2 linked regions of the Anolis sagrei genome follow. The protein of the gene in region 1 interacts with the protein of each later gene in a biochemical or structural test. Links are inferred from orthologs where the notes say so. Each region holds a gene or a part of one and is shown on either strand. Other genes may lie near its edges. The genes, in order: RAB5A and OCRL.

Region 1 (15,234 bases):
CAATATGGAAATCTAAATATGGCTGAAATCCTATTGCTAATGTCAAATACAGTAAATCCACCGAATCAGTGTCAAAATAATGTTCAACAATGAATTTAACAGATTCACTTTAAATGGGACTAACCAAAAGGATCCAGGCTTAAACTGATTTGTCAGATGACTGCTTCAAAACTAAGAACACCTATGGGAAAATCCCAGTGGTCTGGCACCAAAAGAGCAATTGTTCATGCCTACGACTTTGAATTAAGACCTTTACAGATCTAAGAACTCCATGTTGACTTAACTGTTCTTTCTTTCCAAAATCGCTCAAAGCAAACCTATACTTGGAAGGACTAATGTTCTGCAAATACCACAACCTGGGTGGTACCATTCAAACTATTCAGGTTGCAGTACTGGCTGAACTTCAGTTCTTCCAAGTATTGGCATAATTCAGATTCCATGGCATTCAAAGTTTTCTGTAACATGGGTTCTCAAACTTCAGTGTTTTTCAGTCCATGCTTGTCCAAGGATGTTTGGATCCTTTCCAGCTATGCCTCGCGGATAGTAAAGAATGTCTCCTAGGATATGGAGAGGGATAAAATTAATATATAATTTGTTCAGTGTCGTAGAGACTATAGGACTAGTATCAGGAAAACCAAAGAGCAAATCCCTATTTCTGCCTTGCAACGTATATGGGAACAAGTTGTGGAGAAATGATTGTTTGAAAATCTCCATATTTACTACAGTTCTGTTGTTCTTATGTCTCTTCAAGTCATGGCCAGCAAATGGGGAAACCATGGCAAATCTATTGTGGGGTTTCTTAGCAAGATTTCTTCAGAGGAAATTTGTCTTCCTCTAAGGCTGAGAGAATTTGACTTGCCCAAAGTAAGCCAGTGGGTTTCCGTGACTGAATGGGGATTCAAGCTCTGATCTCTACAATCATGAGCCAACATTCAAACCACTACATCACACTGTCTCGATTCTCTACACGTTGACCTTAATAAAACATTCAGAAAATTCACAGCAATCTCCCTTGAAGGGAAGTTCATTTGTACAAGCCATCATTTTAACTTCAAACATTATACAGAACTTGAATTCTAAGTATCTTAATCAGTGCCTTCTCTCATTTGTTTGATCACAATTACAGCTTAACCTCAAGCATAACAAGTCAGAACAATACACAGAGCAGCATTATCAATGAGATTAAAAATCTTTGCTCAATTTTGGCAAAGGTTGACCATTGCCAAAACTGACCCTTACATATTCTCTGAACAGATAACTGGCTCATTATTTTGTAGTGCATCATAAAGTATCATTTTTATTTACTATTCTGAATAATCAGCATTTTCTTGCTAATATCTATTATCAGAATATCATAACTCCATTTGTAACCTATGGATACAACATAAAACATCACTGAGGTACAAAAAGTCACATAAATGACTGGCCTTTTAACTCTATTAGGATATTAAAAAGACCCCTACCAGATCATATAGCGAAACAGCTTTAAAAACCAATTGAAGTTTCAAAAATGTGATAAAACATAAAGACACCCTTTCTGAGAAAAATGTCAAATTCCAATGGGCATGCACAAATACTAAGCAATTCTCAACAAAAATCTACCTACTGTACTTTAATTTATTGAATTTGAAATTTGGTATTGGATAGTCAATTTTAATCTGTTTTAAGATGAGGCATTCCTCATCAAAACATATCATTTTCTTTTAACATCTACATAAGTAACCCAGAAATGTTAAATGTTTATGTCCTGAGAGAAGAGGATACAAATAGCCTTTATTGGCATACAACAACAAAATCGCAACACAGGTATATATAACAAGAGGAAGTCACTGATAAAAATACTTAAAAGTTACAAATCTCAAGGATAAAATTTGCAGTCTCATAAAAGAATGCTTCAAAGTTGGTCAGAAGATAATGGAATTTTATAACACAATTGCCATTGAGAACACTGTGAAAAAATGGAATTGTGAACATAAACTATTAGAATTTCCTATGCTGGGCTAGACAGAGAAATGGTATTTTAATGCCATCTTTCAGAAAATGCCATAAATTGATTAGTTTATGGCAATTTCCGGAAGATGGCATTAAACACCCTCCAGAGGCATAGAGCAGAGTGCTATCAATTTGCTGATGATATCTAAATATTTTTCTCAATTACTTCAAAAACAGCCTAAGCTAAGGATAGTGCACCTCCTCTGAATGAATGCCTGGAGGAGGTAATGGGCTGGATGAGGAAAAAAACGAAACAAATGTTGCTAAACCAGATAAAACAGAGACACAGACTTTAAAGGTCCTAATCTCAAATTGAACACATGTCAACCATAATGCTGTGTTCACAGCTTGAGAGTGCTCCTGGATCTGATTCTCCAAATGTCAGCCCAGGTAGATGTCAGGAGTTCTTATAACCAGCTTTTACTGATATTCCAACTGTGCCCCTTCCTAAAATTAGAAGACCTAAAGATGGTAGTGCACACATTGGCAACCTCAAGTTTGGACTTCTGTGATGCTCTGTACATTAGACTACCTCTCTACCATGCAGAGTTAGTTCAAAACATGTCTGTCAGATTGACTTTGAGTACATCTAGGAGTGAGCATATTACACCTATACTAAAATCATTCCACTGCTGGCCAATTGGTTCCTGGGAAAATACAAAGTGTTGGTTTTGATGTTTAAAGCCTACATTGTTTGGGTCCAGGCTACCTACTGGATTGCCTTCTTTTGTACAATTCACCACAGACACTTAGATCCTCAGGGGGATATTTACACCAACCAGCCAGAACCTGAATGAGAACTGTCACCCTGAGAACAATTTCATCAGCTGCTCCAAGACTGTTGGAGGACCTGTCAAAAGTGATTTGATAGCAAAACAAGATCTCAAAATTTAAGACGTAATTAAAGACCTATCTCTTCTGGTAGGCCTACTGATTCAATTGTAATCAATCTGAAATTTATATTTTGTTAGTATTGGTATTTTAATCTTTGTTCTTTTTTTTACTATATCTAGTTTATGTTGTATCTATGTACTTTAACAATGTTGTACCCCACCTTTAGTAATGAGGGAGTAAATAGCCAATACAATTTCTTATTATTCCAGATGTTTATAGATTATAACCATCATCACACTAGAGAAAAAATCCACTTAAAATCTGGTTTCTGCCTCCTGCAGAATTCTGGGGTTTGTAGTTTAGGGAGGAGCCTTTAACAGCTGCACTAAACTACAAACCCAAGAATTCTGCAGGAGGCAGAAACTAGATTTTAAGTGGATTTTTTCTCTAGTGTGATGAAGTGGCATGTCTCTCGGCCACTCTGTACAGCACAGTTGTTGACAAAGGATTCTGGCATCTGTAGATCTGGATTTTGAAAACTAAGGATTCTCCTTGATCCAGATGAACCAATTAGCCTGTTCACAAAAAAATAAAGCAGCAACAGAATTACTACCACTTACACCTCCTTTAAGTGCAGTCCCTCTGCAAAAAGAAAAGAGTTGTGTCTGAAACTTGAACTTTCTGGTATAGGTTCTAGGATACCCAATATACTTTTTAGTAATTTAAGAACAAAATACAAGATTCTTGGTTGCTTTAGACCAATGGTTCCCAACCTATGGGTTGCTATCCCAAATGGGGTCACAAGTAGTTTTTAATAAGGTGAGCTATGAAAATTTTAAAAAGGCAAAACAATAAATAATGTCATTGTCTCCTGCACTGAGATTTGTTTGCGTAAACATGTAATGATCTTTCATTTGTCAGGTTAGCCTGTTGTGAGGTCCAGATTCCTATGTAATTAACACTATTTTGAATTCTATTATACTGAAAAATCATGCCACCATCTCCTCAAAGGGACTCGGGGCAGCTCACAAAAGCACTCAAAAGTGCAACACACATAAAACACAATAGTACATGAGCCTATAAGACAATAACAGTGTAAATTTACATAACAATTTTACATAAATATCATATAAGTGGCTGCGGATATAAAATAGGATATATTCAAGTATCAATCCCATAAAGTGCAAACAAAGTGAAACAAAATACCTCGAATTTAAGTTAAGATTCTAATCATGGTTGAAGGCCTGTTAGAAAAGCCATGTTTTCAGATTTCAACTTGGGAGCTAACCTAATCCCTTTCGGGAGGGCATTCCAAAGCCGGAGTACCACCACCAGGAAGGCTCCCCTTTTCATCCCCACCAATCGCGTTTGAGACGGAGGTGAGACCAAGGGGAGGGCCTCCCTGGTAGATATTAGAGCCCGTGCCAGTTCATGGAGGAGTTGCAGCCTTGAAGACAAGTTGCACTTGAAGCGTATAGGGCTTTATAGATAATAACCTGTACTTTGAATTGGGCCCAGAAACTTATTGGCAGCCACTGCTTTAATAGGGAGATCGTATGCTCCCTATGCCTAGTCCTAGTTAGCAATCTGACTGCCGACCTTTGCACTAACCGCAGTTTACAATCCGTCTTCAAAGGCAGCCCCACGTAGAGTGCACTGCAGTAGTCCATTCTAGATGTAACTAAGGTGTAGATCAGTGGCCAAGTCAGTCTTTTCGAGGTACGGTCACAGCTGGCGCACCAGTTTTAACTGTGCTTAGGCCCTACCAGTCACCGCCGACACCTTCAAGCATCAGCACTGAATCCAGAAGAACCCCCAGACTGCGGACCTGTGTCCTCAGGGGGAGTGTAACGCCATCAAGTTCAGACTGCCATCCTATAACCCAATTGTCCTCGTGACTGACTAGGAGAACCTGTCTTGTCTGGATTAAGCCTCAGCTTGTTGGCCCTCATTCAGTCCATCAGAGCTGCCAGGCACCAGTCCATGATCTGTGGAGATTCCTTGGAATGGGGTGGAAAAGAGCAGTAGAGTTGTGTGTCATCTGTGTAGAGATGACATTCAACTCCAAAATTCCAGATGACCTCGCCCAGCAGTTTCATGTAAATGTAGGAAAGCATGGGGGAAAGAATAGAACATTGCAGTAATACCTAGGTGGGGAAATGACAGCGATGGCAGCACTGGCAAGAGGTGGCAGTTGCCTTTCCCTTTTTGTGGAATGACTCGTGACTTATCCATGGGTCATATCGAAATCCATAATTCTGGTGCCAAACCTACCCTCAATTTATAACTGAGGTTGACTTATACATGAACATATACAGTACGTTCACGTGACTTACTGTTTTTATTTACAAGTGAAGTCATAGCCCGGGTGATAATGTCCTTATTGAACAAATTTGTTAAATTTAAATTACTGACTTAATGGTTTTAGCAGACTAATACATTAACCATATTTACTCAGAAATGTTAAGTTTCACTACAATTAAAATCATTTGATTTACAAGACAATGTGCATTCCAATTCACATCAGCTTTTGGATACTTTACAGATAATTGTTTATTCAACAGCAAATTATGTCATATATATGCATCATTTTTAGGAACAATATGACTGCTGGACAAAATCAAAGTAATAGACTAAAACCACAAAGTGGCTTTGAAAGGTAAAAAGTCCTATTTAATCAATTTTAACTAAGCAAATAGAATCTATAATACAGCACTGATGGATCAATTCAGGGAAATTCTGAAGTAATAGGGACTAAAAATTAATTCCTAAGTAGTTTTGCTTTTATTCAACTAATAAATGGCAGCAAATGTGTAAAAACAGAAATGAGCATATTTTAATTTTTTTTAAAAAAAAATCCGAACAAACCAAACACTTTAAGGAACAAAAATATAAATGTGAAAATCATATTTAGAAGATAAAAAACATCCAACATTGCCTTTTTGCATTTCTACAGATTTGAATGATGGACTATTTCAACTGTGTATGTGACCCTGTGAATTTCATAGGATTTTCCTAGGCAATGATTTTATTTGCTAGTTCCTTTCCTAAAATATTGCCTGTAGAACCTAGGTATTTGTTGTTGATCTCTCCTCCAAGTATGAAGTAGAGCTGTCCTTGCTCACCTTCTAACATAAGATACAAAGTGGAACTAGATCTGGTGTACAGCAAGATATAGATTTAACTCTGCCCTTGGAGGCATGAGTTCAGAAGTAGCAAAAAGTCATCCTACAATTTGGTACTCTCGATAAAGAAACACACTAGTTATAGAAGAGACAGTACAATCCAGAAGCAATGATAACCCTATGGCAGAATGCAATTACTTCATTTGTATACCACTTTTCTCACTCGTGGGGGACTCAAAGCGATTTACAACATATATACAGCAAAATTCAATGTCTCACATACATAAAAACCTAACATAAAACAGTAATAACATGCATAATTAATTTCTTTACATAATTAAATATAAAAACGCAATAACTTTTAAACATGGAGTTTAAAACATATTAATATTAAAATCACACAATCCAACAATCCTAGCCCATGGGCGATCCAAATATCCATATCTATTGCACATGACTCTGATCATTCCTCGTATTGCTTACTGCCTAAAAAACCACTGAAGAATGGGTTTTGATTCAAAGCTACCAATTAAACCTCATGAACTCTCTGAAAATGCATTTTTCATGTTCAGAGTTACAGTATGATGTCAACTCTTTTATACCAAATCCTGAAAGAATCCCTAGACCAGAGCTTTCCAAACTCTGAGTTGAGACACATTAGTGTGCCAGCTGCAGCATGTGGATGTGTTTGGTGAACGTAAGAAGAAACCTCTGAATCTATGTGACATGAGCAATAAATCATATATTTTTTAAACAAGAAATGACATGTTGTCATAAGATATGCTGCGTTCCCACACATTTCATAATTACAATGTATGCATGTGTCAATATCCCTTATCAGGGGTTTGCTAGTAAAACTGAATTATTTATTTATTTATTTATTTCGGTTGCTTCTACCCTGCCCTTCTCACCGCGGAGGGGACTCAGGGCAGCTTACAAAAGCAAGGCACAATTTGATGCCCGCATCACATAACAACAATAAGACAAATAACATCAGTTAACAGAAAACAACAATTCTAGCAATAACATCAATTAACAGAAAACAATAATTATTGTAAGGCAAAAACAACCATAAAAGCAATAAAACCAATACAAACCATTTCTCCTCATTACTGACAAGTCTCTAAAAAGTGTGGCACCAACATCAAAATGTTTGGAAAGCTCTGCTGTAAACTTTTACATTTAAACACAAGTCCTGCCTAAACACATGCCCTATTTCCACCGATGTTTCATTCCACGGAGCCTCACATGCCTTTCCTGGCCCTCGGTTTACAGAAGCCTAAAATAGGAGGCCTGAAAGGAAAGTGGATCTCTTGTCTCTGGGGTCTCCTGGGGCCCTTCCACACAGCCCTATAGCTCAGAATATCAAGGCAGAAAACCCCACAATATCTGCTTTGAACTAGGTTATCTGAGCCCACACTGCCATCTATTCCAGTTCAAAGCAGATAATGTGGGATTTTCTGCCTTGACATTCTGGGATATAAGGCTGTGTGGAAGGGCCCCCGGAAACTGACAGCCCCCTTTGACCTCCTTCTTTGGAGAAAGGAGAGTCAAGCTTAGGGAGGGTGAGAGGAAGGAAGGAAGGAAGGAGGAAATTGCCGCCGTCCCCTTCCTGGCCCTCGCCTGGGCCCCAAACCCAGGCTTCGCTGGCCCCCCTCAACCCAGCGGCGGCCCCGCCTCGCTCGCCGACACGGGAAGAAGAGGAAGTGGGAGAATTCGGGGCGCCATTTTGAGGGTGGAAAGGAAGCCGGCCCATGGCCCACTTAGCCGTGGCCGACGCCGCACCCTCCGCGGAAAAGAGCAGGCGGGAGCCGAGGGCCCCGCTCGCCCGCCCGCTTCCCAAAGGCCTATCCCAGTCCCCTCTCTCCCGCCTCCTCTCGATACCTGACTGCGAGGGGAAACGGCCACTTCCTCTCCCGGAAGGAGCGAAGAAAGAAGCCCCCGCGGCTCGTCTGCTCCGGTCGGGGAAGAGGGAGCGGGCCTTTGCCGAACCTCACGGGGGGGAGGGGGGAAAGAACGCGGCCTCCAACTTCCGTCTTTGCCTCCTCCTCCTCCTCTTCCCAGACCAAAACACAATCACGTCACTTCCGGCGCCGCCGCCTCTCGCCACGTCACCGTGCCCGCCTTCGAACACTTCCGCTTCGAACGCGGTCACGTGTCCTCAGGCCGTTGTTTGCCCGAAGGAGCGCCCGGCTCGCGCTACGGATTGTGGGATGGCTGGGCGGGGCCCAAAGGGAGGCAACGCTTGAGTCTGGAGTGCGGTCGCTTCCCGTCTCAACCTCTTCCCCCTCCCTTTGGGATTTCGGAGCCGGTCTCCTCTTAAAGGGCCCGCACTTCCGAGTGCCGGCCTTTGAAGTGCAGTCATTCCTCACCCGCGTCTACAGTGTAGAATTAAATGCAGTTTGATGCCGCTATAACTGCCATGGCTCAATGCTATGGAAATTATGGGAATTGCAGATTTACAAGGTCTCTAACTTTCTCCAAAGAGTAGAGACATCACACTAGCAACAAAGATCCGCATAGTCAAAGCCATGGTATTTATTTATTATTTCTTTATTTACGGCATTTATATGCCGCCCTTCTCATCCCGAAGGGGACTCAGAGCGGCTTACAAGGTATATATACATGCAATATATTATATTATTAGCATAGTACAATATCAGTATATATTACTATATTGCACTATACCATTATATTGTAATATTATTAATGTATTCCCTGTAGTAACCTACGGATGTGAGAGCTAGACCTTAGGGAAGGCTGAGCGAAGGAAGATTGATGCTTTCGAACTGTGGTGTTGGAGGAAAGTTTTGAGAGTGCCTTGGACTGCGAGAAGATCCAACCAGTCCATCCTCCAGGAAATAAAGCCCGACTGCTCATTGGAGGGAAGGATACTAGAGACAAAGTTGAAGTACTTTGGCACATCATGAGGAGACAGCAAAGCCTAGAGAAGACAATTATGATGGGGAAAATGGAAGGCAAAAGGAAGAGGGGCCGACCAAGGGCAAGATGGATGGATGGCATCCTTGAAGTGACTGGACTGACCTTGAAGGAGCTGGGGGTGGTGATGGCCGACAGGGAGCTATGGCGTGGGCTAGTCCATGAGGTCACGAAGAGTTGGAGACGACTGAACGAATGAACAACAAAGCTTTCTCCAAGGTGTACTGCTGCTTCGCTATTTATTTATTTATTTGCTAGCCGCCCCCAGCCATGCGTTGCTGTGGCCCAGTCTGTATGTGTTTTGTGTGTGTATGTGTGTGTGTGTGTGTGTGTGTATATATATATATATGAGAGATTAAAAGATGGGCTCAAAGCCAACCTTAAAAACTCTGGTATAGACACTGAGAACTGGGAAGCCCTGGCCCTTGAGCACCCCAGCTGGAGGTCAGCTGTGAACAGCAGTGCTGCAGAATTTGAAGAGGCACAAATGGAGGGCAAAAGAGAAAAACGTGCCAAGAGGAAGGCGCGTCAAGCCAACCCCGACTGGGACCACCTCCCACCTGGAAACCGATGCCCTCACTGCGGGAGAAGATGCAGATCAACAATAGGGCTCCACAGCCACCTACGAATCCACCCCCCTCCGGTTACCACTCTTGGAGGACCACCACCCTCGGACTACGAGGGATCGCCTAACACAACACTGTATATATCTGTGTTTGTATATATATATGTGTGGTTTTGTGCATGTGTTGTAATGCAATTTTTTTGGGGGGGGGTTGGCTTTTTAAATCCCTTCTGCTGTGTTTTTCAGTGTTTTTATGAGTGATGGTCACTTGCTGGCCTGATAGGTATATTGTGTCCAAATTTGGTGTCAATTGGTCCCGTGGTTTTTGAGTTATGTTAATCCTACAAACGAACATTACATTTTTATTTTTCGGACATTTATAAACCGTCCTATCTCGATCTCCACAGAGGGACTCTGGGCAGCTGACTACAAAAGCATAAATATACATCTTCGGTAAAAACAGTATAAAACATAAAAACATCATAAAAAACAGTAAAACATTAGAACAATAATCCACCACAGTCCATTAAACCATAGCTCAACTATCACGTCGGTCTAGTCTGCAAAGGCCTGATCAGATAGCAAGGATTTCACCTTTCTCCGAAAGGTCAGGAGGAAAGGAGCGGATCTGATTTCACTTGGGAGGGAATTCCATAGCCGAGGGGCCACCACAGAGAAGGCCCTGTCTCTTGTCCCCACCAAACACGATTGCAATGGTGGGGGAACAGCAAGCAGGGCCTCCCCGGACAATCTTAAGGTCCTAGGTGGTTCGTAGCAGGAGATATGTTCGGACAGGTAAACTGGGCCAGAACCTTTAAGGGCTTTATAGGCCAACGCCAGCACTAAACCGCAATGGCTTCATATGGAGGCAGCATTCAAAGACATCCATGAGGGACTGATGCTGGATCCACTGCATTAGATTGTCAGTTTAAGTCCAAATTGATTCAAAGTGCTGACCCTTCCACTCAGCCATATAACCCAGAATATCAAGGCAGATGATCCACATTATCTGGTTTGAACTGGATTAGAGTCGACCTTGCCATATAATCCTTTTCATTGTGGATTTTATACAGCTGTGTAGAAGTGGGCATTAGATGATACAGGAGGGTTCTTCCTGACAGGCCCTATATCCCAGGATTTTATCCTAGGTTTTCTGCTTTAAACTGGATTATATGAGTGCACTGCCAGATAATCTGGGAAAAACAGAAAACCTGGGATCAGATCCTGGGATAGGGGGCCATTCCACACAGCCCTATATTCCAGAATATCAAGGCAGGAAATCCCAAAACATCTGCTTTGAACTGGGTTATCTGAGTCCACACAGCCATATATTCCAGTTCAAAGCAGATAATGAGGGATTTTATTCAGCTGTGTGGAAGAGGCCTTGGTCTACTTTCTCAGATGCATAGGATGAAGTATCTTTTATCATAGATTACAATATATTTCTTCCAGGGCCCTTCCACACAGCCCTATAACCCAGAATATCAAGGTGGAAAATCCCACATTAACTGAGTGTGTATTTAAATAACCCAGGGCCTGTCCAGACAAGGCCTTTATTGCAAGAACTCCCGAAATAAAGGCGGGGCTGTTCAGACAATGATCTGGACAGTCCCACATTATTTCACTACAAACCAGGAAAATCCTGTTTTGTAATGAATTAATTTGATAGTGGATTTATTCGCTCCCCTCTCCCTTTCTTGGCGCGCTATTTCTATGTGCCGGGAGAGCCCGCCGGGGCTTCAAATGGAGGGCACTTAAGTTTTTCTTAGTTTTCTAAGGAGTCTGGGGGCTTGGTGGAGGGAGGTAGGGCCTCCACATGTTCTCTCGGGCTAGTCCTGAGATAGCGTGTGAACAACCAACTCCAGAAAGTGCGTTCTTTCGGGGGGGGGGGGGGTTATGGACAGGCCCCCAGAAATATCAGTGTTATTTTAACGCGGATGCTTCTGGAACAAGGACCTGTCTGGAATCTGTTGTTTTAGAAAATGTGTTCTAATCCATAAAGGCAAGTGCTAAATATTTCCTTGATGTAAATGCTGGTGTTAGTTTCAACTAAGTAGATCCATTGGGACAGTGAGACAAGTATGAAGTCAAGTACTGATGTAACTTTTAGAAGTTGATTAAAAGAGTCTACTTCATTTTAGGTCAGAAATTACATTTGGTCTTTCATGTTATGGGCCATTGTTAAGATCATACATATCTTCTGATAGTTCCAGTAATTTTGACATGTGTAAAGTTGTTGACCTATTTATTTTTCTGCTTTTGAAAAGTGAAGACATCTTTAAGTACCTCAAAACAGTGTGTGTGTATGTGTATCTATCTAAATGAAAATGTCATGTTTATTTGTGGGATTAACATAACTCAAAAACCACTGGGCAAATTGATACCAAATTTGGACACAACACACCTATCAGGCCAACAAGTGACCATCACTCATAAAAACACTGGAAAATACAATGGAAGAGACTTGAAAATCCAAAAAAGAAAAAAAATGCATTACAACACATGCGTATAACCACATATATACACATATACACAAATATATAAACACATACACACACACACAAAACACATATACACAGACTGGGCCACAGCAGGGGTTAGCTAGTATATGTGTGTGTGTATACATATCTTATAACTAGATTCAATGTATATTTCAACTAATGTATTCAATGAGATACTTATAATTGATGTTATTTTTCTAACTTCTGACATCTATACCATCTCTGTCATCTTGTTTTTAAATTGCATGTATCTCAATCAATCATAGAATCATAGAGTTGGAAGAGAACACAAGGGACATCCAGTCCAACTCCCATGAAATATAATTTCCATGAAAGGCATATTTTATCTATATGCATTACAAATAATCTCAAATAATACCGCCATTTAACTTAAATTCTTACATTTGGTCCTGCCACTGATTTTAATTGCGTCATTGTGTGTTTTTAATGTTATTGCTTTGTTTTTGAGTTATTTTGCTGTTGTTGTTATTGTTTTTACTATTGTATTTGGGCTCAGCCTCTTGTAAGCCGCACCGAGTCCTTCGGGAGATGGTAGCGGGGTACAAATAAAGGTTTATTATTATTATTATTATTATTATTATTATTTGCATTTTGCATTGTTACAATCCAATTTGTCCTTGGATGTTGGTATATACACAGCATACTAGATATTTTCTTCACTGTTTGTTTCATAGCAACACATTAAATTCCCAATACTGATTGCAGAGGAGAGGAAGAAATTAATAACAAACTAGTTAACTCAGTGATATACTTCCTGTAAGCAATTAACATAGCAATTAACAACCAACATAGTGACGCATAGCCTTTGCGGTAACATTCGGTTGGAATTGTGCCATTTATATTACTGTAGTAACTATAATTAAAATGATATCATCTTCGAATAAAAATATACCCATGGCAGTTTTTTAAAGTAAACATGTCGAGCCTAAACTGAAGGTGACTTTGTAACACTTTGACATGGAAGCAAATGTTGTTATATTTATCAAGATCGAGCAAGAAGATGGAAAGAAAGAAAAGCTAACAACTCAGTGCAAAAGATAAAGAGCTGAGCAATGGACTAGATATGAGATGGCTGTGGAAGTAGCTTGGCAGGCAAAACAGGAATTACCTGCTCAACACTGCACTATCACATTCATCAATGCATTATTATTATTATTAGAAACAATGTGTAGAGTAAACCAGATGAAGCAGAAGCTTTACATTGTGAAAAAAATAATGACTTAATGACACCTTAGTTCCTTGATTGGATAATGTTATTTAGAAATATTTAATGCTGCTTAATGGAGAATAAATTGTTGTTATACATTTATAGTCAGTCACACATTCTGTGGATTAGAATATAGGTGTGGATTCCCACTTACTAACCTACTGTGGAATGATGAGTGTCAGAAGATGGGGCCATCTTCGTTCCTCTTCATGGTTCCAGGCTTTGGCCTGGAATCTAGTCCTGAGCTGCGTTTACATGGTAGAATGAATATGGTTCCACATAAAATAAACTGCCATACCTCAATGCTCTGGAATCATGGAGTTGTAGTTTTTCTACCAAAGAATGTTGGCACTTCACCACATTTCAGCTTTCATGATTCTACAGAATTGAGCCATGGCACTTAAAGTGATGTGAAACTGCATTAATTCTATAGTGTAGTCCTCTTCCTCTTTTCCTGCACAGACCCCAAGGCTTCAAGATCCAACTGGCACTTTTAAATGCCTGTCAAGAATGTATGGCTTCAGTATGACTTACACACTGGCTATGTGAAACATGTGAAATTCACTCAGGGCTCTTCTACACAAGCCCTAAAACCTGAGAGAAACTGGGATAAGGTGTGTGTGTGTTAGATGACGCTTCCCCAAATTTTGCCCTGAATCGCATCATCGGCTGAAAAACATGGGTTAAGAATTAGATGCGCTTAAAATCCGAGATTGCTCCCAAAATGTGCATATTCCCATTACTATATATCCCTGCACTCAAGTGAAACATGGAATTTCATTGCGAACTGTTCCAGCACATGTGAACTGTTCCGGCACATGTGCACATTTTAAAATCCTGAAACAGCTGATGAGGGCTGTAAGCAGATGGAGCCATGGACACACAGTGGCTAAATGGAAAGCGATTCCCATGAGAACTCTCTGCAACCATTCTTTTGTTCTCATATTTATGATATTAAACAGAGTTTGAATTTACACAGCGCTTTTTGAAACAAAAGTTTCTCATGAGGCCCCAAAAACATTTATATACATATTATGTTATATTCTATATTATATATCATGTGTATATATCAGGCATGGACAAACTTTTTGATATATTGTGTTTTAAATTTTGACAGATGGGTCAGGTCAGTGGCAAATGGATAGAAAGTGTTTGTGTGATAAAGATGGCATGGATATTTAATATATGAAAAAAAATTAATTGTCTCTAATTTTAAGAGCCACCTGCTATACCCTATACAGAATATGGAAAAAGTACAAATCAAGACCTCCGTGGACATTTACCAAAGAAGCCCCCCCCCCCATTGGACAGAAATGGGGGGAGGCCAATGGCCCATCTATAAACAGGTATTGCTGTATTTACTCTAATGCAATGCACATCTTTTTTGGCTTAATTGTTTAGCCAAAATAGAGATGCACATTACATTTGATGGCGCATTACAGCTGCATGCCAAAAGGTGCCTGTGTCCCTCCATCAGGCTGAACCTAGCAAACTCGCCAGTCTCAACCTGATGGTGGAGCAGCTGCTTCCCTCCCCAAGACCGTTCTCCTTCACCTCTCAGCTGAGAGACGGAGGAATGCCTCCCCCTTCTCTCCCCAAGACCATTTTCCTTCACCTCTCAGCTGAGAGACAGAGGAATAGCCTCATTTTCCTCCCCAAGTCCATTCTTCTTTGCCTCTCAGCTGGCATTGCCTTCATAAAGTCGAGGCTGGTCAACGTTCTAGCCTCTACCTGGCAGAAGATAACTGCTTTTCCTTCCTTCTTTAGCAAATTCTTCTTCTTCTTTTTTTTTTTTTACAACGCAGTAGACTCGAGTAAATACAATAATTGGACAACTATAAACATAGGGACTGCTTAGCTATGAACTTTGGATCAGTGGGACGATCTTTAAAAAATAAAATAAAATGGAATATACAGTGATGTGCTTCCCAGTGCAGTGCTACTCAAACTAATGGTCCCTGGAAAAAAATAATTTTCTAACTCACGGCCCTTCCACACAGCCATATAACCTAGAATATCAAGGCAGATAATCCACAATATCTGTTTTGA
Region 2 (16,135 bases), on another chromosome or scaffold:
GAGAAGTTGAAGTTGAAGGTGAAGGTGGAGGAGAAAGGGAAGGAGATGGAGATGGTGATTGAGAAGTTGAAGGAGAAGGAGAAAGAAACTGAGATGGAGAAGGAAATGGAGACAGAGATGGAGAAGGTAGAAGAGAAGGAGACAGAGATGTCTCCACACTCTGATAATACATAATGACAAATTTATCTCTTAAAACAATACAGATTCCTCCAACCTGCAGCTGCTCAAAGTATGTTAGACTATACTTCTGCTAAGCCTCTCCAATATAATAATTAGGCTGGTTGAAGTTGTAGTCTCACCCATCCTGAGGGTGCCTGGTTTCTGCTTAACTAGTTAACTTTTGAGACTAATCTATTGGTTCATCCAAAGGCACCATGTAGGATGCCATTATTGGACACTTTATTGTGACAAGCCTTTTCTATACCTCACTGTCCTTGTAGATGTTTACGAGGCAGGTTGATGGTGATCAAAACCTCATGGTGAACATTACATCTTGAGCCAAGAGCCTTGGTTAATTGTAGAAGTGGTTGGGGAGCATTTTGCACCAAAGTGAATAGAGCAGCTGGTCCTCCTGGCATCTCATTATGCATCTGTCTATTTCTTCATCCTCTTTTTGTATGTATTTGATGTTTTCCCTGTGTTGGGGCTGACGCATCCATAGATATGCTAGCAGACTTTGGAGATACTCCCTGCCCTGTAATTCTATTGCCTGGATTGTGTAAGGGGGAGTGTTTGTGTATGCATGGCAAAGAAAACTCATTTTGTGCAAACTCAGAATGCATGGCGCACCTGTTCCAGAGTGTCTCGGCAGATGCTTCTCTCATACCGAACATTAGAGACATTTATGAGCCAAGGCCGTGTCTAGACACTTGCCATAAAAGTCCTTAAGCATATCCACAAAAGCCAACTCCCTGTCCAGCCTGAACCATTGGCTGACACAAAAAAGCCGTGTTAAAGCTCCATAAATTTAATTGGATCCCACCTCTTTTAAGTATCTGGAGCAGGCGGTTTTAGTGAGATGTAATTAAAAGACAAAAAGATGCTGGATGAATAAGAAAGAAAGACAGCCAAGAGCAAACCAGAGCTCCGTTCAGAAAAGACCCATTCCTGGCCTTTGAGAAAGAACTTCGATGGAACCAATCATAGTCGGAGCAGAAATTGCAAACTTCTTAGAAAAGTTACTTATGCTAAAAGGTGAATGGGGGCATTGCAGAATTAATGCTATTTGGCATCATTTTAATTGCTATGGCTCAATGTTATGGAATCCTGGGATGTGTAGCTTACTGAGGCACCAGTGTACAACTCTCATCATTCCATAGAATTGAGCCATGGCAGTTAAAAGTGATATTAAACTGCATTAATTCTACAGTGCAGGTGCACCCATGGTGCCACTATTACTTATGTTGGACTACTAAGCAGCTCTCAGCACCGTTGAGCATGGGACTTACGTTTTTGCAGGGCTTGGAGCATCATTGCAAAAAGCCTAATTTGTCAAGATTAGGCAGTCTAATGCAGTTTACACAATCATTATAAGGGGAGGCGTGTAATCCATTAAATAAAGTGTTAAATCATTAGATAGCTTTGAGGGGGGAAAATTAGGACAATGTTACAATGGCTGACATCATTGACATATAGTAGCCCCAGTTTGCCAAAGGCTTATTTAAACTGACTTTTTATATATTTTGCAATTTGGAAATTTCCAGATGGTTGACTATAAACCTCCACAAAACAATTGCTATATAGGTAAGTAAAGGTAAAATTTTCCACTTGACATTAAATCTAGTCGATTCCAACTCAGGGGGGCTGGTGCTCAGCTCCATTTCTAAGCCGAAGAGCCGGCGTTGTCCGTAGACACCTCCTAGGTTATGTGGCGAACATAACTGCATGGAACGCTGTTACCTTTCCACCAAGGCAGTACTTATCGATCTACTCACATTTGCATGTTTTTGAACTGCTAGGTTGGCAGAAGCTGGGGCTAACAGCGGGAGCTCACCCCACTCTCTGGATTCAAATTGACAACCTTCTGGTCAGCAAGCTCTACAGCTTAGTGGTTTAACCTGCTGCACTTCTACAGACCCTAATTGCTATATAGGAATGGTGAAATCTGTAATGTAAAGCTCATCAAACAACGTGCATTGTTTGTGTGGATTAGAGACATATCTCTTTCACAAGTCCATCCTCTCTCTGAGAAAGATTTCTTTAGGCCCCTTTGACACTGCCATATAAAATCCAGATTTTCCGCTTTGAACTGGATTATATGACAGTGTAGACTCATATAATTCAGTTCAAAGCATATAATGTGGGTTTTCTGCTCTGATAATCTGGATTATATGGCAGTGTAGAAAGGGCCTTAAATGGACTTTGGCCTTTGATCTGCCATATGGGTTTGTTAAATAAGGATTCTGCACTGTTCCCTATTTTTTTGTGTTTAAAATGCTTTTAAATTTAATGTTTACTCCTCTTCTCAACTTTATGGTCTCACTCAGAACTGACATTTCTAGCTGCTTCTTTGAATAATGCTAAAGTAGAGAGATCCCATCACAGATCACTGCTTCTATTTCCAATCTTTTGACATAGTGCTGGGCAAAAATCAACTGAAGCGGTCAGGAAATGTGGGGATAAGTTACACTTATGCGGCCCATTGTGGCAGGGATACGCATGAAAATGATGCCATCTTCTGCAAGCTAACTGTAATGACGAGAAGAGAGTTCCTGGTATATAAGGATTTCCTTCCTTTACAATGCCCACAACTGGCAACTAAGGTCCCTTCCACACTGCCATATAACACAGATTATGACATCATATAACCCACATTATCTGATTTGAACTGGATTATACGAGTCTACACTGCCACATAATAATAATAATAATAATAATAATAATAATAGACGACTCTGCAAGGAAGCAGATGAAACAATAGATCATATCCTCAGCTGCTGCAAGAAAATTGCACAGACAGACTACAAGCAGAGGCATAACACCGTTGCTCAGATGATTCATTGGAACTTGTGCCACAAATACCATCTTCCTGCAACAAAGAACTGGTGGGATCACAAGCCAGAAAAAGTTACAGAGAATGAACACGTCAAACTACTTTGGGACTTCCGAATTCAGACTGACAGAGTTTTGGAGCACAATACTCCTGACCTCACGATTGTGTTAAAAAACAAAGTATGGATTGTCGGTGTTGCAATCCCAGATAACAGCAGGTTTGAAGAGAAACAACTGGAAAAGCTGACACAATACGAGGATTTAAAGATTGAACTGCAAAGACTCTGGCACAAGCCAGTACATGTGGTCCCAGTGGTGAGCGGCATACTGGGTGCAGTGTCTAAAGACCTTGGCCTGCACTTAAACACAATTGGCGCTGACAAAATTACCATCTGCCAGCTGCAAAAGGCCACCTTACTGGGATCTGCACACATTATTCACTGATACATCACACCTTCCTAGACACTTGGGAAGTGTCCGACGTGTGATCTGATACAACAGCCAGCAGAGTGATCTTGTCTGCTGTTGACTCATCTTGTTGTGTTTCTAATAATAATAATAATAATAATAATAATAATAATAATAATAATAATTTATATTACTCCCTTGTCCTCTAAGAGACTCAGAGTGGATTACAAACATTCAGTGCCTTTAAAATCACATGAGACACACAAACACAAACAAAGGCAAGGCTTCTCCTTTCATTTCCAGCTTACGGAGGCGGTGCTCATCTCTGGCTCTGGGGAGGTGCTTTTCTCCATTTTCAAGCTGAGGAGCTTGCGTTTTCACCTCTTGGTCATGTGTCCGGCAAGATTGCTTGGAGCGTCTCTTTGCCTTTTCCTGCCAAAGCAGTACCTATTTATCTACTCACATTTGTATGTTTTCGAACTGCTAAGTTGGCAGGAACTAGGGCTGACAGACAGGAGCTCACCCCATCTCACGGATTCGAACTGCTGACCTTCAGATCAGCAATTCAGCTAATTTTCAGGTCAGCAGTTCGGGAGCACAAGGGTGTAACCCTTTTGCACAACCACGGCCCCATAATCAAGTTCAAAGCAGATAATTTGGATTTTATATGGCAGTGTAGAAGGGTCTGAAGTCCCACTCCAACGTTATCACTTGTCCTTTGGGAATGCCATTTTACAGCATCCATAGGCAGCTCTGCCTACTGAATTTTAAACCTCGGGAAGATCATTCTCACCAAGCTTAAACACTTAATACCATAGTAGATGATACCTGTGCTTTTGTCAATGGCAGACTTTTCTGGTTGTTGAGGTAGTCAAGCTTCTCAAGTCCAAGGACAGGTAAAGTGTAGCGTTCCTTTTGCTTTTGCAGTCCAATTCTCATCATCCCTCTTCACTAGGAAAGCTCACTTTGGCTCATGGGATTTGTAGTTCCAAAGGACGACACTATCTCAATCCATTGTTGGCTTTCCCTCAAGCAGATCTTATAAGTGGACTCAAGGACTCGCTCACAGCAAACATGTCAATCTTCTCTTATGGATCTTTACCCACAATTGACAGCTGTAGCCATGTGATGCATGCACTCTTCTTGGGTCACAAAAGAGTGGCAGAGTCAATCACATTTTTGGGTGCAAAATCCCCTGGAAACTTCCGCAATGCACAAGGGTTTCAAGAAAGCCCAACTCCAGGCAAAGGAACAAACTCCAAGCAATGCTGGTTTGAGAGATAGCTTCTCTCCTTGATGAAATATAAAGTAACTTCATTCATATTCATGTCGTTGTAATCTCCAGGGTCATTCGAGCGAGGAGATGAAGCCGAAATTTACAGCACACGCCGCCACTGGTGATAGAGCGCCTGGTTTACCCATCACCAGCTCTAATTAAACAGGAAATTAAAAATGTTAACCCTGGCAGCCGCCTCTGGAGGATTCGTCAGGCATTCATCGCATCTCCTGTAAAGTTTAAAGGTGGTAAAAGAAGAAAACGTTGCTACTCTGGCATGACAGATGTGCCTTTGCATGCAAGCCAAGGTGCCATCCCATCCACTTTGAATTAGGGATCCTGAGCTTTGCTTCTGTAAGAGACGAGCATAGGGAGACAGCCTGAAATGTTGCGTAATGTTGAGATGTCTGTGATCGTTCCCTGGGTTATATTTGAAAGCAAAATGCAAGTGGAAGGAATGGCTGAGAATACTATTTCAAGGTCCATCTACACAGGCATTTGAAATCCAGATGACGTGGAACTTAGACCTCAATAAATTGAGACGGAACAGGCTGGTGAGCATTTATGCCAACTATAATTAATAAACAAAGTTGCAGACAGTTTCTATTTTAAGAATAAGGTAGAATAAAAGTACAGTTTATACACTCCAGACTTTGGAAATAGAGATCTATATAAATAAAAATGTAATGTTCATTTGTGGGATTAACATAACTCAAAAACCACTGGACGAACCGACACCAAATTTGGACACAAGACACCTCTCAGGCCAACAAATGACCATGACTCATAAAAACACTGGGAAACACCACGGAAGAAACTTTAAAAGCCAAAAAATAAAAAATACATTACAACACGTGTGCAAAACCACATATATACACATACATACACACACACAAAACATATACACAGACTGGCAGGGTACGGTTAGTCTATATAAATAAAAACGTAATGTTTGTTTGTGGGATTAACATAACTCAAAAACCACTGGACGAATTGCTGCCAAATTTGGACACAAGATACCTACTAACCCAAGGAGTGACCATCACACAAAAAAATATTTTTGTCATTTGGGAGTTGTAGTTGCTGGGATTTATAGTTTACTTACAATCAAAGAGCATTCTGTACTCCACCAATGATGGAATTTAACCAAACATGGCACAGAGGACTCCCATGACCAACAGAAAACACTAGAAGGGTTTGGTGGGCATTGACCTTGAGTTTGGAAGTTGTAGTTCACCTACATCCAGAGAGCACTATGGACTCAAACAATGATGGATTTTGGCACAAATGTTCCATATGCCCAAATATGAACACAGATGGAGTTTGGGGAAAATAGACCTTGACATTTGGGAGTTGTGGTTACTGGGATTTATAGTTCGCCTACAATCAAAGAGCATGCTGAACCCCACCAACGACAGAGTTGGGGCAAACTTCCCACACATAACCCCCATACTTAAGGCCATCCAGTCCAACTCCCTTCACTAGGGCAAGAAAACGTAATCAAAGCCCTCCTGACAAAGAGCCATCTAGTCATAGATATTGATAGATATATATGATTCACACATGGAGAGATATAGTATCATAGATTTGAAAGGGATCCCTAAAGAAGGACAATTATATGTTGCATGTTCCAGAGTAGGCAAACCAATCATCAACACTGACAAAGAAACAGCAAGAAATACTGTTTACCCACAAGCAGAAAGACATTGCGTATATTAGAAACCAACACTTTCTCATTACTTTATTTTCCAGATCACCAGACTGGGCCACAGCAATGTGTGGCAGGGGATGCCTAGTATTATATAAAAAGATAAACATTATACAGCAAGAAATGGATAAATGCCAGAAGGGACATAGAGTTTCTTCTATGCTGACGATCTTGCCATCACCGCTCAAGCTTTAGGTGCTCTTACTGCCTATTACAGGGAAAACCAGAGGATTCCTAATCCATCTAAAACACAGACGTGTGCTTTTCACCTTAAGAACAGACAAGCATCTTGGACTCTGAGGATGACCTGAGAAGGAATCCCACTGGAGCATTGCAGCACACCCAAATACCCGGGAGTCACTCTGGACTTACAAGAAGCACTGCTTGGCTAGCAAGCAAAAAGTGGGTGCTTGAAATAATATCATACGAAAGCTGACTGGCACAACCTGGGGATCACAACCAGACACAGTGAAGACATCTGCCTTTGCGCATGGCTACTCTGCTGCTGAGTTCGCATGCCCAGTGTGGAATACATCTCATCATGTTAAAACAGTTATTATTATTTCGTATCAAAAGCATTCGTATCAAATTTGGTGCCAATTCGTCCAGTGGGTTTTGAGTTATGTTAATCCCACAAACTAATATTACATTTTTATTTATATAGAAGTCTAGCCATCCCCTGCCGCGCGTTGCTGTGGCCCAATCTGTGTATATGTGCTTTGTGTGTGTACATGTGTTTATATGTGTAGGTGTACATTTATGTATTTGTGTATATATGTGTGTATATATATGGTTTTGTGCATGCATTGTAATGCATTTTTATTTTTGCTTTTTAAGTCTCTTCTGCTGTGTTTTTCATGTACACACACAAGGCACATATACTGGGCCACAACAACGCATGACAGGAGATGGCTAGTCTTCTATATAAATAAAAATGTAATACTAGTTTGTGGGATTAACATAACTCAAAAACCACTGGACGAATAAAAACAATGAAAAACACAGCAGAAGGGACTTAAAAAGCAAAAAACACAAACGAGCATTACATATTTATTTAGATAGATAGATAGATAGATAAAATAAGTAACAACAAAGTAATAAAAGGCATAATAACATAGATACTAATAATAAAGCAATAAAAGGCAGATTAAAATAAATAATAATAAAGTAATAAAAGGGATAGGAAAATAAATAATAAAATAAATAACAATAAAGTAATACAAGGCATTATAAAATAAATAATAGTAAAATAAATAATAAAGTAATAAAAGGCATAATAAAAATAATAGTAAAATAATACAAAACATAATAAAATAAATAGTAGCCAAATAATAAAAGGCATAATAAAATGAATAATAGTAAAGTAATACAAGGCATCTTGACAGATAGATAGATAGATAGATAGATAGATAGATAGATGATAGTAGCAATGAAGTAATAAAAGGCATAATAAAATAGATATTATTATTATTATTATTATTATTATTATTATTATTATAACTTTATTTGTACCCCACTAGCATCTCCCAAGGGACTCGATGCAGCTTACACAGGCCGAAGCCCCAAAAACACAATACAACAATACAATACCAAGCAAATTAAAACAGTTAAGCAGGAAAACAATAACAGTAACAATATGACGAGACACTATTAAAACTGGGCCGGCTGGGTACAGGGGTACAGGGTTAAAGTGCTGATGTGGCAGGAGGGATATGGGATTAAATATAAGTGCAGTGTGCAGTGTGCAGTGATCTTGGTTCTACTAAGGTGCTTCTAGGATTTGGTACTGGAGGTTCCTAATCTGAGAAGGCACATCAGAACAGCCAAGTTTTCAATTCCTTCCTGAAGACTGCCAATGTAGGGGCCTGTCTGAGATCCTTCGGGAGGGCGTTCCAGAGACGGGGGGCCACCACAGAAAAGGCCCTGTCTCGCGTCCCCACCAAGCGCGCTAGCGACGCGGGCGGGATCACGAGCAGGGCCTCTCCAGATGACCGTAGGGAGCGTGTGGGTTCGTAGACAGCGATACGGTCACGCAGGTAATAAAGCAACAAAAGGCAGGTTAAAAGAAATAATAATAAAAGGGATCTGAAAGGAAATAATAAAATAAATAACAACAAAGTAATACAAGGCATTATAAAACAAGTAACAGTAAAATATTTAATAAAGTAATACAAGGCATAATAAAAAATAATAGTAAAATAATACAAAACATAATAAAATAAATAGTAGCCAAATAATAAAAGGCCAAATAAAATGAATAATAGTAAAGTAATACAAGGCATCTAGATAGATAGATAGAGAGATAGATGGATAGATAGAGAGAGAGAGAGAGAGAGAGATAGATGGATAGATAGATAGATGGATGGATGGATGGATGGATGGATAGAGAGATAGAGAGATAGATAGAGAGAGAGAGAGAGAGAGATGGATGGATGGATAGATAGATAGAGAGAGAGAGAGATAGATAGAGAGATAGATGTATAGATAGATAGATAGATAGATAGATAGATAGATAGATAGATAGATGGATGGATGGATAGAGAGATAGAGAGATAGATAGATAGAGAGATAGATGGATAGATAGATAGATGGATGGATGGATGGATGGATGGATAGAGAGATAGAGAGATAGATAGAAAAGATAGATAGATAGATAGATAGATAGATAGATAGATAGATAGATAGATAGATAGATAGATAGATAGATAGATAGATAGATAGATAGATAGATAGATAGATAGATAGATAGATAGATAGAAAACTGTATTCTCCAATAGGCTTCTGCAGTGCTAGACACAGTTTCCCTCCGGCCGGCAGGGGGCAGTGTCGCATCTTCTCTCTCTGCTCCTGTCAGGCTCTTCCGTTTCCTTTTTCCTCGCGCGCGCGCGCGGCCGGGGAGTCGGGAGCGCGCCCCGAGGGCAAGCCAGGCCCAGCCAGGAACCCGCAGTGCCCGCCTTGCCTCCAGCTGCTAAGGCCTCGAAGCCTGGCTGGGCCCATGGAGCCCTCCGCGGCCGGGAAGAGCGGCCTTGCTGTATCCTTCCTGACCTGGAGCAAAAGGGGATTGGGGGGGACAGTATTGGGGGGTTAAACTGGAACGAGGTGGGGACTGGCTTGTTTGGTGCTTCTGTTGCCATGGGAAACAATGCGGGTGGGGGGGGGGGAGATGTGTATCTGTAACTGATCCTTCTCTGACAGCTTCTTATGCCTTGTATTACTTTGTTATTATTTATTTTATTATGTCTTTTATTATTTTCCTACTATTTATTTTATTATGCCTAGTATTATTTTACTATTATTTTGATTATGCCTTGTATTACTTTATTATTTATTTTACTATTATTTACTTTATAACGCCTTGTATTACTTTATTGTTATATATTTTATTATTTACTAGCGGTCCCCTGCCAGGCGTTGCTGTGGCCCACTCAGTAGATCTGGAAAATAAAGTAATGAGAAAGTTTTGGTTTCTAATATATGCAATGTCTTTATGCTTGTGGGTAAACAGTATTTCTTGCTGTTTCTTTGTCAGTGTTGATGTGGAGATTTTCTGGTTTGCCTACTCTGGAACATGCAACATATCACAGTCCTTCTTTAAGGGTCCCTTTCAAATCTTTGATACTACATCTGTCATATACATATATGTGTGTGTGTGTGAATGGCTGGATGGCATTTTGTCAGGAGGGCTTTGATTATGTTTTCTTGCCTTGGTGAAGAGAGTTGGACTGGATGGCCTTAAGGCAGCATTTCTGAACCTGGAAAGTCAAGTCCCCGGGGAGGGGGGGTCACCAGGGGGGTGTCAGAAGGATCACCCAAGACCACCAGAAAACACAGTATTTTCTGTTGGTCATGGGGGTTCTGTGTGAGATGTTTGGCCCAATTCCATCGTTGGTGGGGTTCAGAATGCTCTTTTATTGTAGGTGAGCTATAGATCCTAGTAACTACAACACCTAAATGTCAAGGTCTATTTCCCCCAAACTCCATCTGTGTTCACATTTGGGCATATTGAGTATTCCTGTCAAGTTTGATCCAGATCCATCATTGTTTGAGTCCACAGTGTTTTCTGGATGGAGGTGAACTACAATTCCAAAACTGAAGGTCAATGCCCACCAAACACTTTCAGTATTTTCTGTTGGTCATGGGAGTTCTGTGTACCAAGTTTGGTTCAATTCCATCGTTGGTGGAGTTCAGAATGCTCTTTGATTGTAGGTGAACTATAAATCCCAGCAACTACAACTCCCAAATGGAAAAATCATAATATTTTGAGTGATGGTCACTCCTTGTGTTGTGAGATGTTTTGTTGCCAAATTTGGTGTGATTTCGCTCATTGGTTCTTTTGTTTTTAAGGTACTCATTATGACCAGAGCATTTATATAGAGAGAGATTTTCATATCCCTTTTATTTCTTTATTGTTGATTTTATTATGCCTTGTATTACTTTGTTATTCGTATTATGAGTTTTAATTATTACACATTTTAACCTAATACTGACAGGCTGTAGGTTTGAATCTGAGGAGAGTGCGGATGAGCTCCCTCTGTCAGGTCCAGCTCCCCATGCGGGGAACATGAGAGAAGCCTCCCACAAGGATGGTAAAACATCCGGGCATCCCCTGGGCAATGTCCTTGCAGACAGCCAATTCTCTCACACCAGAAGCGACTTGCAGTTTCTTAAGTAGCTTCTGACACACAAAAAATATTATTCATTTTTTATTATTTATTTTATTTATATTATGCCTTTTATTACTTTGATATTATTCATTATATTATTTCTATTGTTGCTTTATTTTTACTTATTTTGTTTGCCTTGTATTACTTGGTTATTGTGCATTTTACTCCGCCTTGTATTACTTTTTATTATTATTTTATGCCTTTTATTATTTTATTATTATTTATTATGCCTTTTATTGCTTTATTATTATTTATTTTGTTATGCTTTTGTTACTTTGGTATTATTTATTTTTATTATTCTTTTTATTACTTTACTATTATTTTTATTATGCTTTTTGTCAATTTGATAGTATTCATTTTATTATGCCTTTTATTACTTTATTGTTTCCAGTACTTATTTTATTATGCCGTGTATTAATCTATTTATTATTATTATTATTATTATTATTATCCATTCTGTTATATTTTTTATTACATTAGCAGTAATTTTCCAAATCTCTTCCAAATCTAGGATTCTATGACTGTACTTTAACTACCAAACAGAGGAACGTTGTTGCCTTTGTGAGCAAGAAAAAGGGGACCACTGTCCTGATCCAGAAAATGCAGTTCTTGTGCTAATGTTGATTCTGTATATCAGATCTTAGTTAAATGCTCAAAAGCAGGCTTGACGAGATTAGCTTGTGGGAGTATTTTCCTTGGCTTTGTCTGTAACCTGTTTTATGGAAATCCTGATGGTGTTTGGCTGGGCAATTTGCTATTCCCATCATGATAATGAGGAGCATTTTTACATATTCAGCTGCAGAGCAGGTCAAGCTTGCTACCTCTGGTGGATCTGGAGTATGGGAAGGATTTGCTTTCCAACCAGTTCAGAGCAAAGCTGTAATCTTTGCTCTTTCCTAAATTGGGGGGGGGGGGGGTGGAGGTGGGGGCAGTTTTTGATACAGGAGGAAAGCCTAGTTGAAACTTTGCAGCTGCAGAGAGAGCCGTATCATTCTGAACTGAATTTCCAACAATGCTAGGAAAATGTGTGCTTGTTTTGGGAGGAGGGGGCTGGGAGCTGTTTTTTTCCCCTCCTCTCCTTTTCCTTAGCTGTTGTTCAGGGTCTGGAAGTGACTGCTGGCCGGCGAGTGCCATGTGAGCTGAGTCTGGCAAGGCTTGGTTCTGAATACAAGTGAGTAGTTGCCATTTGAGTGTGAAACATATAATGTCACCTTACTTACTTACTTACTTACTTACTTAGCCGATCCCTCTTAGTCCGAGGTTGATGGTCCTCCCAGTGTAGTATCCTGGTGGTGGGTCCATAGGTGACTGTGGAGCCCTATTTTTGATCTGCATCTTCTCCCGCAGTGAGGGCATAAGTTTCCAGGTGGAAGGCAGTCCTGGTCAGGGTTGGCTTGACTCGCCTTCCTCTTGGCACGTTTCCCTCTTTTACCCTCCATTCGTGCCTCTTCGAATTCTACAGCACTGCTGGTCACAGCTGACCTCCAACTGGAGCGTACAAGGGCCAGGGCTTCCCAGTTCTCAGTGTCTATGCCAGAGTTTGTAAGGTTGGCTTTGAGCCCGTCTTTAAATCTCCTTTCCTGTCCTCCAACATTCCATTTTCCAATCTTGAGTTCAGAGTAGAGCAACTGCTTTGGGAGGCGGTGGTTGGGCATCCGGACAACATGGCCGGTCCAGTGGAGTTGATGGCAGAGGACCATCGCTTCAATGCTAGTGGTCTTTGCTTCTTCCAGCACGCTGACATTTGTCCGTTTGTCTTCCCAAGAGATTTGCAGGATTTTTCGGAGGCAGCACTGGTGGAATCTTTCCAGGAGTTGCATGTGATGTCTGTAGACTGTTCATGTCTCGCAGGTGTATAGCAGGGTTGGGAGACAATAGCTTTATAAACAAGCACCTTGGCATCTCTATGGATGTCCCGATCCTCAAACACTCTCTGCTTCATTCGAGAAAATGCTGCACTTGCAGAGCTCAGGCGGTGGTGAATTTCAGTGTCAATGTTGACTTTTGTGGAGAGATGGCTGCCAAGGTAGCAGATATGGTCAACGTTTTCTAATGTTACACCATTAAGCTGTATTTTTGGCATTGGAGAGGGATTGGCTGGTGACTGCTGGAAGAGCACTTTGGTTTTCTTGATGTTTAATGACAGGCCGAGCTTCTCGTATGCTTCTACAAAGGTGTTGAGTGGCTTGTAGGTCTTCTTTTGAATGCACACAGATGACGTTGTCATCAGCATACTGGAGTTCTATAACAGATAATGTCACCACACACACACTTGCATATATTGTCGGAGCTGGAAGAATAAGTCTTCCCACAGCTCTCTATTTTCCCTCTTGCTTGGTCTGAGAAGGTTTGAAATAATGGCATGCTGGACAGGGCCTGGACAGCTCCCTATATATCCAGTGTGTGGCCCTTGCTTGACCAAAAGTCAACTATCATATATACATCATACTCTTTCTTCCAGGAGGAAGTTGGCTGAAACATTATTTGTTGTTATGTGTCACTTTTGGAGGTAGCAACATACAATTATATCATCGCAAAGACATTTCCTTGTGTTGTGATGTTTACATTACTCCCGCCCATTTCTTGAATTGTGATCTCATGTTATCCTTTGGAAGCTGTGTTTTGCTCAAGCAAGGGCCATGTTTCAATGCTGTGGAAACATGGGAGTGATAGTTTGTTGAGTCATAAGCATTATTTGGCAGAGAATAATAATGATATTATTTATTTATATTCTGCTTTATCTCCCTGGAGGGACTCAGTAGATTACAGTATACAGATATAAGGCAGACATTAAATTTTTTTTGCCCAGTGAACAACAATAACGTACAATACGCAAACCAAGGTAAAGGCCTTCCCCTTTCATCTCTTGTGCCTGGAGGTGTTGTTGTTCCATCTCCAGTCGTGTTTTGCCGGCATGTCTGCACGGGGCAACTTTTTACCTTCCTGCCTATTGATCTACTCGCATTACAGGTTTTCGAACTGCTAGGTTGGCAGAAGCTAGGTCTAACAGCGGAAGCTTGCCCCAACTCGTGGCTTCAAACTGCCAGCCTTCTGGTCAGCAGATTTTCTACAGCTGGCGGTTTAACCCATTGCACTACTGTGGCCCCACAAGCTAACAGTTCCTGTTATTCCATAGCAGTGAACTGTTGTAGTTAAAATGGTTAAGTTGCTATAATTCTCCTATCTAGATCAGTGGTTCCCAAACTTTTTCATTCAAGGAACCCTTTAGAATAATTTATTTTCATGCAAAACCCTAACTTTGTCCCTAAATACTGTGAACCCACAAAGTTCTTCCTTCTTTCATCTACTTCTATTGCCTGAGTGTTTTGTATATCATAGTCCGTTTAGAAATAAAAAATACAACATTTTAAATATAACAGCATTTTTTTAACTTTGGTACAAGAAAATATTGAATATAACCAAAAGCATTTATTGTGGCACAAGAAAATATTGGATTTACACCTAAAGCGATGAGCAAAATCGTTTTATTTCTGTACTTGGGATAGTTTTCAAATGGGGCTTTATGTCTGACGGCTGAATGCATAAATCCAGGGTGGTATCCAGCTTCAGGTTCTGCCAATCTAGCAGTTCGAAAACATGCAAATGTGAGTAAGTAAATAGGTACTGTTGAGACTCAGCATTCTGGTACCGCTTCAGCAGAAATGTAATGGTGCTCCATGCAGTCATGCTGGCCACATGAGTTTGGAGGTGTCTACAGACAACACCGGCTCTTCGGCTTAGAAATTGAGATGAGCACCACCACCACCCCCAGAGTCAGCCACGACTAGACTTAGTATCAAGGGAAACCATTATCCAGCTTACTATTATATTTGTTTTTTGGGTAAGCATAAACTAAAAAGCCCAGTCCGCATCAATCAGTGGATATGGATAGCCTTGTCAGCTACTGATGGGCTATTTGTCTCTTAGTCATTCAGTGGCACAAATTCAAATTTCATTTTTAAAGCAGAGGTACAATGAATTTTAATGAGATCTTCAAACTCTGTCACAGACTGATTTTTAAACAAGATTTTGTGGAATCCTAGGGTTCCGCAGAACACAGTTTGGTAACTACTGCTCTAGTTGCACCCAACATGCTGATGAACAGTTTCTGACACTAGCTTCACTCCCATTTCCATTCATTAATCCTGTCCTCTGGAGCAATAGGGAACATCTATAACAGGGGTCCTCAAACTAAGGCCCGGGGGCCGGATACGGCCCTCCAAGGTCATTTACCTGGGCCTTGCTCAGGGTCAATCTAAGTCTGAAACAACTTGAAAGCACACAACAACAACGATCCTATCTCATCAGGCAAAAGCAGGCCCACACTTCCCATTGAAATAATCATCAGTTTATATTTGTTAAAATAGTTCTTCATTTTAATTATTGTATTGTTTTAAAGTGTTTTTTGCACTACAAATAAGGTATGTTCAGTGTGCATAGGAATTCATTCATGTTTTTTTTCCCAAATTATAATCTCGCCCTCCAACAGTTTGAGGGACTGTGACCTAGCCCTCTGTTTAAAAAGTTTGAAGTCCCAATCTATAATATATAATATTATACATTATAGATAATATATATCATATATTATAATAGTTTGTGTTTTTCATTCAATTTTAGTTAAATTACAATTTGCTTTTATATGTTAGGTTGTCAATGTTTGTTATTATGAGGTGTATTGTTATTATGTTCAGGCATTGAATGTTTGCCTTTTATGTTTGGAATCCTCCCTGAGTCTCTCCAAAGAGATAGGGAAGAATATAAATAAAGGTTTATTATTGTTATTATTATTATCTCTCCCGACTTCTGCATGACTTGGAGACATGCTGTTTCAGAATGCAGCTGAAATTAGTGCCACATTAGCAATTTTCCCAATAGTTTTAAACTAGATGGTTGCAAGTGGTTAGATGGGAAATAAAGTACCGTATATTCTGGTGTATAAGGCTACTTTCTAACCCAAGAAAATCTTCTCAAAAGTCAGGGGTTGTCTTATACGCGGGGGTAGTCTTATACATGGGGGGTCGTCTTATACGCTGGAGTAGCCTTATGCATGAGAGTCGTCTTATATGTGGGAGTAGTCTTATATGCTGG

What was found.
Region 2: the proteins of RAB5A (region 1) and OCRL form a complex in vitro, tested with the Homo sapiens proteins (2 studies listed by BioGRID and IntAct, with this or other methods). The link is inferred for Anolis sagrei from reciprocal best matches to the Homo sapiens genes RAB5A and OCRL.

What each region holds. Positions count from the first base shown.
Region 1 is NC_090026.1:87,270,085-87,285,318, forward strand, and holds the start of RAB5A (ras-related protein Rab-5A), read right to left. Parts: upstream 8,052-15,234; 5' UTR 7,836-8,051; intron 1-7,835. UniProt on the Homo sapiens protein: The small GTPases Rab are key regulators of intracellular membrane trafficking, from the formation of transport vesicles to their fusion with membranes.
Region 2 is NC_090030.1:10,858,880-10,875,014, reverse strand, and holds the start of OCRL (inositol polyphosphate 5-phosphatase OCRL), read left to right. Parts: upstream 1-9,273; 5' UTR 9,274-9,378; coding exon 9,379-9,414; intron 9,415-12,147; coding exon 12,148-12,218; intron 12,219-16,135. UniProt on the Homo sapiens protein: Catalyzes the hydrolysis of the 5-position phosphate of phosphatidylinositol 4,5-bisphosphate (PtdIns(4,5)P2) and phosphatidylinositol-3,4,5-bisphosphate (PtdIns(3,4,5)P3), with the greatest catalytic activity towards PtdIns(4,5)P2.